Linked DNA regions of Cricetulus griseus. The protein of the gene in region 2 interacts with the protein of the main gene of each other region in a pairwise test. Links are inferred from orthologs where the notes say so. Each region holds a gene or a part of one and is shown on either strand. Other genes may lie near its edges.

Region 1 (4,313 bases), on a different chromosome or scaffold from region 2:
CAATAGTTACAGCCACCTTTCAGTGAGCACATAACTTGCCCAGCACTGAGCTAGCTGTGCATGTGGGCATCTGGCTAAATCTTCATAAGAACCCACTCAAGACAATATTATTGTCCCTGTTTTACAGCCCAGAGGTGTTAAGTTGTCCAGAGCCAGTAGGTAACCAATCTGAGGGTAGAATGGTCAGAGACCCAGGGGCCACAAGTCTAAACCCTGTGCTAAACCAGATATGGAGAGAGAGGGGAGTATGAAGCTCCAGCTGATTGGCTGAAGACTGCCAGCCACTTGATGCTGCCAACTCAGCTTGCGACTACACACACCAATTCTGCCAGATGAATGGCTTCAAGAATTATTTTCAGCTAAGCATAGTTGTGGACCTATTTAATTCCAAAACTCAGTAGGCTGAGTTCAAGGCCAGCTGAGTCTACAGAGTGGGATCTTGTCTCAAGAAAAAACAAAAACAAAAAAGAATTATTCTATAGCTGTCCATGGTGTCAGATAATTGTAATCCCAGCACTTGGGAGGTAGAAGCAAGAGCATTGCTGCAACTTCAAGGACAGCTTTGTCTATACAGGCAGTTTAAGGGCTTTATAGCAAAAGAGTTCATTCCAATCAGGCATGGTGGCTCAGCTTTATAAGATGTTGTCTCCCAAAAAACAAACAAGCAAGATAGTAATTTTTAAAAGTATTTATAGTGGGGCTGGAGAGATGGCTTAGTGGTTAAGAGTACTTGCTGTTTTTCCACAGGACCTAGGTTCAGTTCCCAGCTCACAGCCATCTACAATTACAGTATGAGGTGATCTAACACCCTCTTCTGGATTCCATAGGCACTCACGTACATGGTGCACATTCATACATGTGAGCAAACATTCATACACATACAATAAAATCTTTGGTTGCTTTTTTTGTTTTTCGAGACAGGGTTTCTTGTTTCTTTGTAGCTTTGGAGCCTGTCCTGGCACTCATTCTGTAGCCCAGGCTGGCCTCGAACTCACAGAGATCTGCCTGCCTCTGCCTCTGGAGTGCTGGGATTAAAGGTATGCTCCACCACCACCTAGCACAATAAAATCTTTTTAAAAAAACGATATATGGTGCTAGGGAGATGGCTCCATAAATAAAGCTCCCACTGCACTAGCATGAGAACCAGAATTTGAATCCTGAGCACCCACACAAAATCCAAGCAGTTTGTTTGTTATCCTAGTGCTCAAGATGCCAAAAACAGGGGCTCCCAAGGACTAGCTGGTCAGCTAGACTAGACAAGCTGGTGAGCTCCAGGTTCAGCCAGAGACCCTGTCTCCATAAATAAATCCGAGAGCTATTAAATAAGACACTGGACATCAACCTCGGACTTCCATGTGCACCTAAACATGTGTGTGCCCACACATGTGAATAAGCATGCACAGAACACGTGTACACGTGCCAAAAATGATTGCTCACTTTCCATCTTCCCTATCACTGCTTTGTCCTGTGCTAGTGGCACAAAAGAAATGCTGTGTCCTTTTTGTCCCAATGAGTCACAGAGAAGAGAAGGAAGGGGAAAGGGGTGGGAGTAATTAGGTAGTCAGAGGGGTGGATGACGGAAGGGAAAGAGCTGGAGATAGAAAAGGGGACAAGAAGGGAGGAAGAGTTAGCTGATGGAGCTGGAGGAACAATGTATCCCCCAGGCTCGGAACCCCCTTTGACTGGAATGCACCTGTGAGCATCCCAAGGTTCTGTACAGTCAGATAACTAGCCTAGCTCGCCTTCATTTCAGAACTTCTCCCCAGGAGCTGAGGGCCAGCTGGAAGTCCACCCCCTATCTCCTCCCAGCTCTTACCCTGCACTCTCGGAAGTGGGCTCTTAACTCCAGCCCATTCTCAGAGCCTCCCTCAGTTTCCTGGTGTGGCCTCACAGCTTAGGGCTACCTTCCTGTCCCATTTCCCTTTCCTGCCTCTAGTTCCCTAGAGATGAAGCCATCCAGACATTGGCATCTCTAGCCAAGCCACATCCATCCAGCCTTAGAGTACTAAACTTGCTTTCAGTCTGGTCCATCTCCCCAGGAGTCCCAGGGGAGGGGGATCCTGGCATCAGAGGTCTCAGACACCTTTGCCTTAGAAATGGCAGGTCTGCAGCAGGAGTATAGGTGACTCAAGCCAGGATTATGTCATTAGGTAGAGGTTAGGAAAGAGTCAGCCTGTGTCACACTGATAATTTCATGAAACTTTTATAGTAAACAACTTATTTTCTCTTTCCCCGGGGAAAGTGTTTATCTTTCAGCACCCAGCCTAGAGAGGCCTCCACTAGGCATCTACTCAGGTTTCCAACCCTTGGGCCAGCTCTGGCTTCTCTCAGCCCCCGGGGAAGAGCCCGCAGAGGTCATCGCATTACCTGCTACTTCTTAGCAAAGGGTTCTGAGTGCCTGGCAGCAGCAACCATAAACATCTCCTCTAACCTCTCAAGGACCCACTAAGGTAGGTATTGCTGCCCCTACTTTATGGCACGGAAAAGGAAGCTCATGGAGGTTAAGTGACTTGCCCGGGATGGCCGGGAGCTGCTAACTGCCGCACGAGCGTGGGAAGCGCAGCTCGGCTCACTCCGCACCGACGGGGCGCACTCTGATTCTCCTTTCCCGGCTGCCTGCAAAGTTGGGGTCTGGCTCATGCGACCAGCGTGACCCGCACCCCTGGGGTTCGGGCTCCTACATCACACCCCTGCATAATCGCCCTCTGCCCCTGCCCGTCTCACCATCGCCTCCGCAGCCACCGCCACCTCCTGCTTGCCGGCTCCGGCTCCTCTGCCCGGCGTGGCCTCAGTGCCCGCGGCCCTGGAGGAAGCCGCGGGGCGGGGCGGGCCCGCGGGCCAAGGGGGCGGAGGGGGGGCGCCTTCTCAGAGAGGTGCCCGACCCAGACAAACCGAAAGCAGCAACAGGGTCCGTGGGGCGCCTCCTACCGGGCCACCAGCGTCCGATTTCCGATGACACCCCAGCCTGGTAAATTGGGGACCGATGTCTCTTGGATCTGGGACTGCAACAGGAGTTAGCGAGGGAGGCGTCATTCTGTCATACGACAAGCATCTGTGAGTGCTAAGTGCTCCGGATGTCATGAACATGCCAGGATGGGTGCTTGCCACCTTGGTGAGTGCATGCCACCCAAAACTGAAAACACATCAACCACTCCAAAGTTCTGGTTGTTTTCAGACGGAGCAGGCAGTATTCTGAATACATCACATGTCGCCAAGTTGTACACTTAAAAAAGACAAATTGAGGTCTGGCAAGATGGTTCAGTGGATAAAGGCACTTGAAGCCAAATCTATTGCATTATCAGAGTTCCATCCCTGGGACTCACATTGTGGAGAGAACCAACTCCTGCAAGTTGTCTATCTGACCTCCATACACCGGGGTGGGAGGAGGTGGGGGGGCGATTTTTTAAATGCTAAAATTCTGCCGACATTCCTGTGAGCTAAAAGTCTCAGTGGTGTGTGGATGCATGAGCCTCTAAAGTTGCTGGGATGGATCCCAGCCTGAAATAAAAGATGACAACAGCAGCCAGACCAAGTTTTGAACCAGCAAGAGGCAGAGGAAGAAAAAGAGAAGATTTGAGCCAGCCTCCAGAGCAGTACTCAAGCAAAGAATGACTCCCTTTCCCAGAGAATAAAACACAGACAAACTACATGGCAGGCCCTGAAGAGCCTCATAGTGTGAGTTTAGGAGTCAGTCGGAAAACAAACAGGGATTATCCAGCCTGAGAACATACAATTTCCCCTTAGATTCCTGATGCCGGCCATGGGGACTTCTCCCCCGGTCAGAAAGATGGAGATTTTGAAGCAGAGTGATGATGAGGATACTGCAGCTTTTCTTGCATAACTGGGAAAAATTAAAGAGGAGCCAACAAACAGTCCTCTTTCTTAATCTCACTGGCCCATCGCCCAGTGCTTAATCAAAGACTAGAATGTGGGACCGGAGAGCTAGCTGAGTAGTTAAAAGCACTGGCTGCTCCTCCAGAGGACCCAGATTGAATTCTCATCACCCTCATTTCTGCTCACTGCTGTCTATAATTCAGCTCCAGGGGATCTAATGCCTATTCTAGCCTCCAAGGGCACCAATCATGAATGTGGTACATAGTCACATATTCAAGTGATGCATTTCTGCACATAAAAGAAAAAAAATAATTTAAAGAAAAAGTAATTTAAAAAAAATTACTGCCGGGTGTTGGGCCGTTAATCCCAGCACTCGGGAGGCAGAGGCAGGTGGATCTCTGTGAGTTCGAGGCCAGCCTGGTCTCCAGAGCGAGTGCCAGGATAGGCTCCAAAGCTACACAGAGAAACCCTGTCTCGGA
Region 2 (4,248 bases):
TTACATACACAAACAGATACATATTCAAATAGTCTAACTGAGAAAAACATTTAAAAAGCAGCTGGACTAGGCAACTGTTTTTGAAAAGCTGCCTGTCTGAGACATCGTGAATCAAACTCTCTGAATTAACTGCTGATTTTTTTCTCATGTTACCCAAAGGTTCAGAGTGCTTTGAACATACAGAATTAAATTTAAAAAAATCAAACAATATCTTCTATCACTTAAAATTGAGACCCTAGAAGCTTTAGCACGGGTTTAGTGCTAGGCTATTTTTCCCCCTCTCCATGAGGTTGCATAAAATTAAGACATAAAGAACAGGAGACTCTTATTAACATAACGGAAGACTCACCAGCTGTATTCATTCCGCTGCCACTCACTATGTCTCTGTTTATTTCTGGAGACCCTTTCTTTTCAAAAGCCATGTTAGAATGAACCCATCTCCATGCTGAGATTTTTTTTTTTTATTTCTATGTAATATTATGTCTTTCAGTTTACAAGTAAAAACCCTTCAATATAAATGTAAACAAAAGCCCCTGCCCCCTTGGGGGGCAATTTCCTATGCCTTGTGACCAAGTTCATACACCTAACCCCCCCAAAACGGCGCCCGCGGCGCACACGGCTTCAAATACCTTTTCTGTGAATAATATGGCCAAGCATAATTTCCACGGTGACTTAAAAATTTTTTCATGGTGACTTAAAAAGGGGACAATTGTCTTGGCAACACATTGACAATCACGACACAGAGCTTAATTTTTCATTATCACTTTGATAAACGATAAAAGAAAAAAATTAAAAGGCAATCCAGCATCTAAAAGGTGGGAAAGGCGCAGGGTTTCACACATTGCATTTCAAATACAACTTCCTAAGGGCTTGGGGTGACTGTGCATTCCCCTATGCTCCGACTCAAACCTCCCTTTTCAATTAAGGTTATTATAAATACTCATCTGACGCCCATTCACATCCAACCTCTATTTGACAGGGAGGTAGACTGAGGCTCAGGAAGTCAAAGCCTGCATCAAAAACAAACCAAATACAGCAATCTTTCTGGAACACTGCTTTGAAAAAGAACAACAACAACAAACCCCACTACTGCTGGAGCAAGTGAAGCTCCGGTCAATAAAATCAAAAGCTGGGTGCTATTTTGGGGGGTTAATTTTCACATCACATCATGTTTTTAAAAAAGTTCGAATGGAGGGGAAGCTTAATTTCCTGTGTGGGAAATGGAAGGGCCGAGCACCTTGCAGTCTCACCAGCACGAGCCCAGGAAAAACAGCAGCACAATTATTCCTGGGGGGGGCGTGGCTACACAGAGGACTGGGGCCATTTGAAGAAAAATTGTGAGAAGAGAAAATGAGTACACACCCCCTCCACAACACCCCCCCACAACACACACACACACACACAATACACAACCACACCCACACAACACACCCCCACAACACCCCATTCCCACAACACACACCCCCAACACACAAATCCCCATCCCCACACCCCCCAACACACACACACACCCCAACACACACATCCCCATCCCCAACACCCCCCCAACACACACCCCATCCCCAACACACCCCCCCAACACACACCCCCAACACACACATCCCCATCCCCAACACACCCCCCAACACACACATCCCCACACACACACACCCCCAACACACACATCCCCATCCCCAACACCCCCCAACACACACATCCCATCCCCAACACACCCCCCAACACACACATCCCCCAACACACACATCCCCATCCCCAACACACACCCCCAACACACACATCCCCCAACACACACCCCAACACACACACATCCCAACACACACATCCCCATCCCCAACACCCCCCCAACACACACATCCCCATCCCCAACACACCCCCCAACACACACACCCCATCCCCAACACCCCCCCAACACACACATCCCCATCCCCAAACACCCCCAACACCCACCCCCAACACCCCCCAACACCCACACCCCCAACACACACACCCAACACCCCCACCCCCACCCCCACAACACCCCCATTCCCACAACACACACACACACACACACACACACACACACACCACAACACACCCCCAATACACACACACACACACACACCACAACACACCCCTAATACACACACACACACACACAACACAACTCCCTCCTGGGTGGGGGTGGGGGGAGAGTTCCCTTTGCAAGGGTTTGAGTCAGCTAACCAACCACCTGACCCAAAGAACCAAAGTGAAGCCATTGCAGGAGGTGTGTGTAGGGGGGGAGAACTCCAAACAAAACAAAACAAAACAAAAAGAAGGTTGGAGAAAGGCCTAGATTCCAAGTCCTCGTGGTTAAAACACATGTAAACTGAAGCTGCCTGTCGTGCTGTGACACTGAGGACTGAGAGGCCATGGAGTGAGTGAGTAAGGCAGAGCAGGGCTTGATACTGTGGTCCCCTTTGGGGGTCGTAGGTGCCCCATGACCCCTGACCAGGGAGCCCTTCCACTTAAGTATCACTCCTAATCGTCGTCGTTTTGTTCTTTTTCTTCCTTTTTTTTTTTTTTCTCTCTCTCTTTTTAGACAGACAGACAGAGACAGACAGACAGGCAGAGCCGCAGTGCACACGGTGTGTGTGTCTGGAGAGGCCGCCGGGAGACTCACCGCAGCAATGCTACGTGAATGCAGAGGGCTGGAGGTGGTGTGACTACTCACTTGCTCGGCTAACAGCTGCCGGTTTTGGATGGAATTATTCCGCAACAACAAGAAAGCGTCGGTTAAACGCCTGGTGGCCATGTCTCACCTCTGTGACCCCCCCTCTCAGGGTCCCCCACCCCCTTATAGTCTTGATTTTTTTCTTTCTTTTTTTTTATTTTCTTTCTCTCACGCTAGCCTGGCTGGTCCACCCTTTCTTAGAAACCTCTCTTGACAAGGCCTCAGGCCACAAAAAAAAAAAAAAAAAAGGTGCAATTTTGCGCTCCGCCAAAGCGCAGAGACCCCTCCCCAAATAACCACCTAGGCTTTCCAATTGTCTGGCTCCCCCTACCCCAGCCCTGGCTCGGATCTCTAAGCACTAGAATCCCCCCAATCCTAGCATAGAAACCGAACGTCCTGGAGACCCCTCCCCAATCCAGCGGCGGATCTGCAAGCGTCTAACCCACCAATCAGGAGGGAGCGTGCACAAGACCCCTGCCCACTCGCTTCCTGAGACTGCCCCTGACGTCTGGGCCTCGAAACACACTCGCTTAGCGCCTGCGTGTCTGGCATGTGGCTCTAACTCCGAATTTTGGTCAACTCTCCTCACAAAAGGCCTGCTCCAGCCACGAGCAGGCCTGAGCCCAGGACTCCAAGCGAGCGTCTGCAGCTCCCTCCGAGTCCTCAGAGCCTCCCAGGGCTCAGGGCGACCCGACCCCTGCTTCCCCGGAGGCCCGCAGGCTGCAGGCCTCCCTCCACCAGGACCTCACGGCCTGCACCCCGGCCTCCTCACTCCTCCTGGCCGGCACCCTCCATCCCGGGATATGGCTGCAACCCTGCCCCAGGGCCGCTTCCGCGTGTGGTCCCGGGCTCAGCGTTCCCCAGCCCTCTTCCTGTCCGTTCCTCGCGGGTGCCCCCCTGCGATGTTCATGAGGATTGTTTGTAACGTTCCGGGAGAGGGATCTCCCTTGTTGCCCTGCCCCAGGGGTGGGAGCGCCCCGCCCTCTCTGGGGTATTTCCCGGGGTGCCCTGTTTCCCTCTTCCTAAGTGTGTGCAGACTCTGGGACAGGCATCCTGGCCCAAAGAAAACTTCAAAAACTTGGCCCTGGAGCCGAAAATCACTGCTGGGGTCCAGACAACTGTAAACTTCTAGTAGAACTGCCAAGCAAACAAGAGTGTGGCTCTAGCAGAGCCTAGTCCTGCGCGGGGGCGGAGGAAAAGGCAGGAGACAGTGCCTCTGCAGGCCGGGCACGCTCCACTGCAGGCTGCTGGCGCTGCTGAGATGGCTGTGCCTTTTTCTTTTCTTTTTTTTTTAAAGCTGAAAAAAAAAAAAAAAGAGAGAGAGAGAGAAAAGAAAAGTATCCAAAAAACAACCAGGCGAGAAAAAGGAACAGGGAGGAAAAAAAAAATCTTGAGTTCCACGCCTTGCTGAGGACAGTCAGGGGGACGTCGACCCCCACCCTTAGGTGCCACACTCCGTAGGGGACACTGCATCGTTGTGCTTGCCAGGGAGGTTTCTGCTAACTGGGAGACCCTCCCTCACTCTCACTCCCCCCAAAAGAGCTTTGTGTTGCTGC

Evidence for each region.
Region 1: the proteins of Stx16 (region 2) and Vamp5 interact in binary tests that used the Homo sapiens proteins (3 or more experiments, as listed by UniProt). The two-hybrid records come from large-scale screens. The link is inferred for Cricetulus griseus from reciprocal best matches to the Homo sapiens genes STX16 and VAMP5.

What each region holds. Positions count from the first base shown.
Region 1 is NC_048601.1:64,109,868-64,114,180, forward strand, and holds the start of Vamp5 (vesicle-associated membrane protein 5), read right to left. Parts: upstream 2,871-4,313; 5' UTR 2,728-2,870; coding exon 2,725-2,727; intron 1-2,724. UniProt on the Homo sapiens protein: May participate in trafficking events that are associated with myogenesis, such as myoblast fusion and/or GLUT4 trafficking.
Region 2 is NC_048599.1:5,005,837-5,010,084, forward strand, and holds the start of Stx16 (syntaxin-16), read right to left. Parts: upstream 3,064-4,248; 5' UTR 2,774-3,063; coding exon 2,642-2,773; intron 1,011-2,641; exon of another isoform or gene 350-1,010; intron 1-349. UniProt on the Homo sapiens protein: SNARE involved in vesicular transport from the late endosomes to the trans-Golgi network.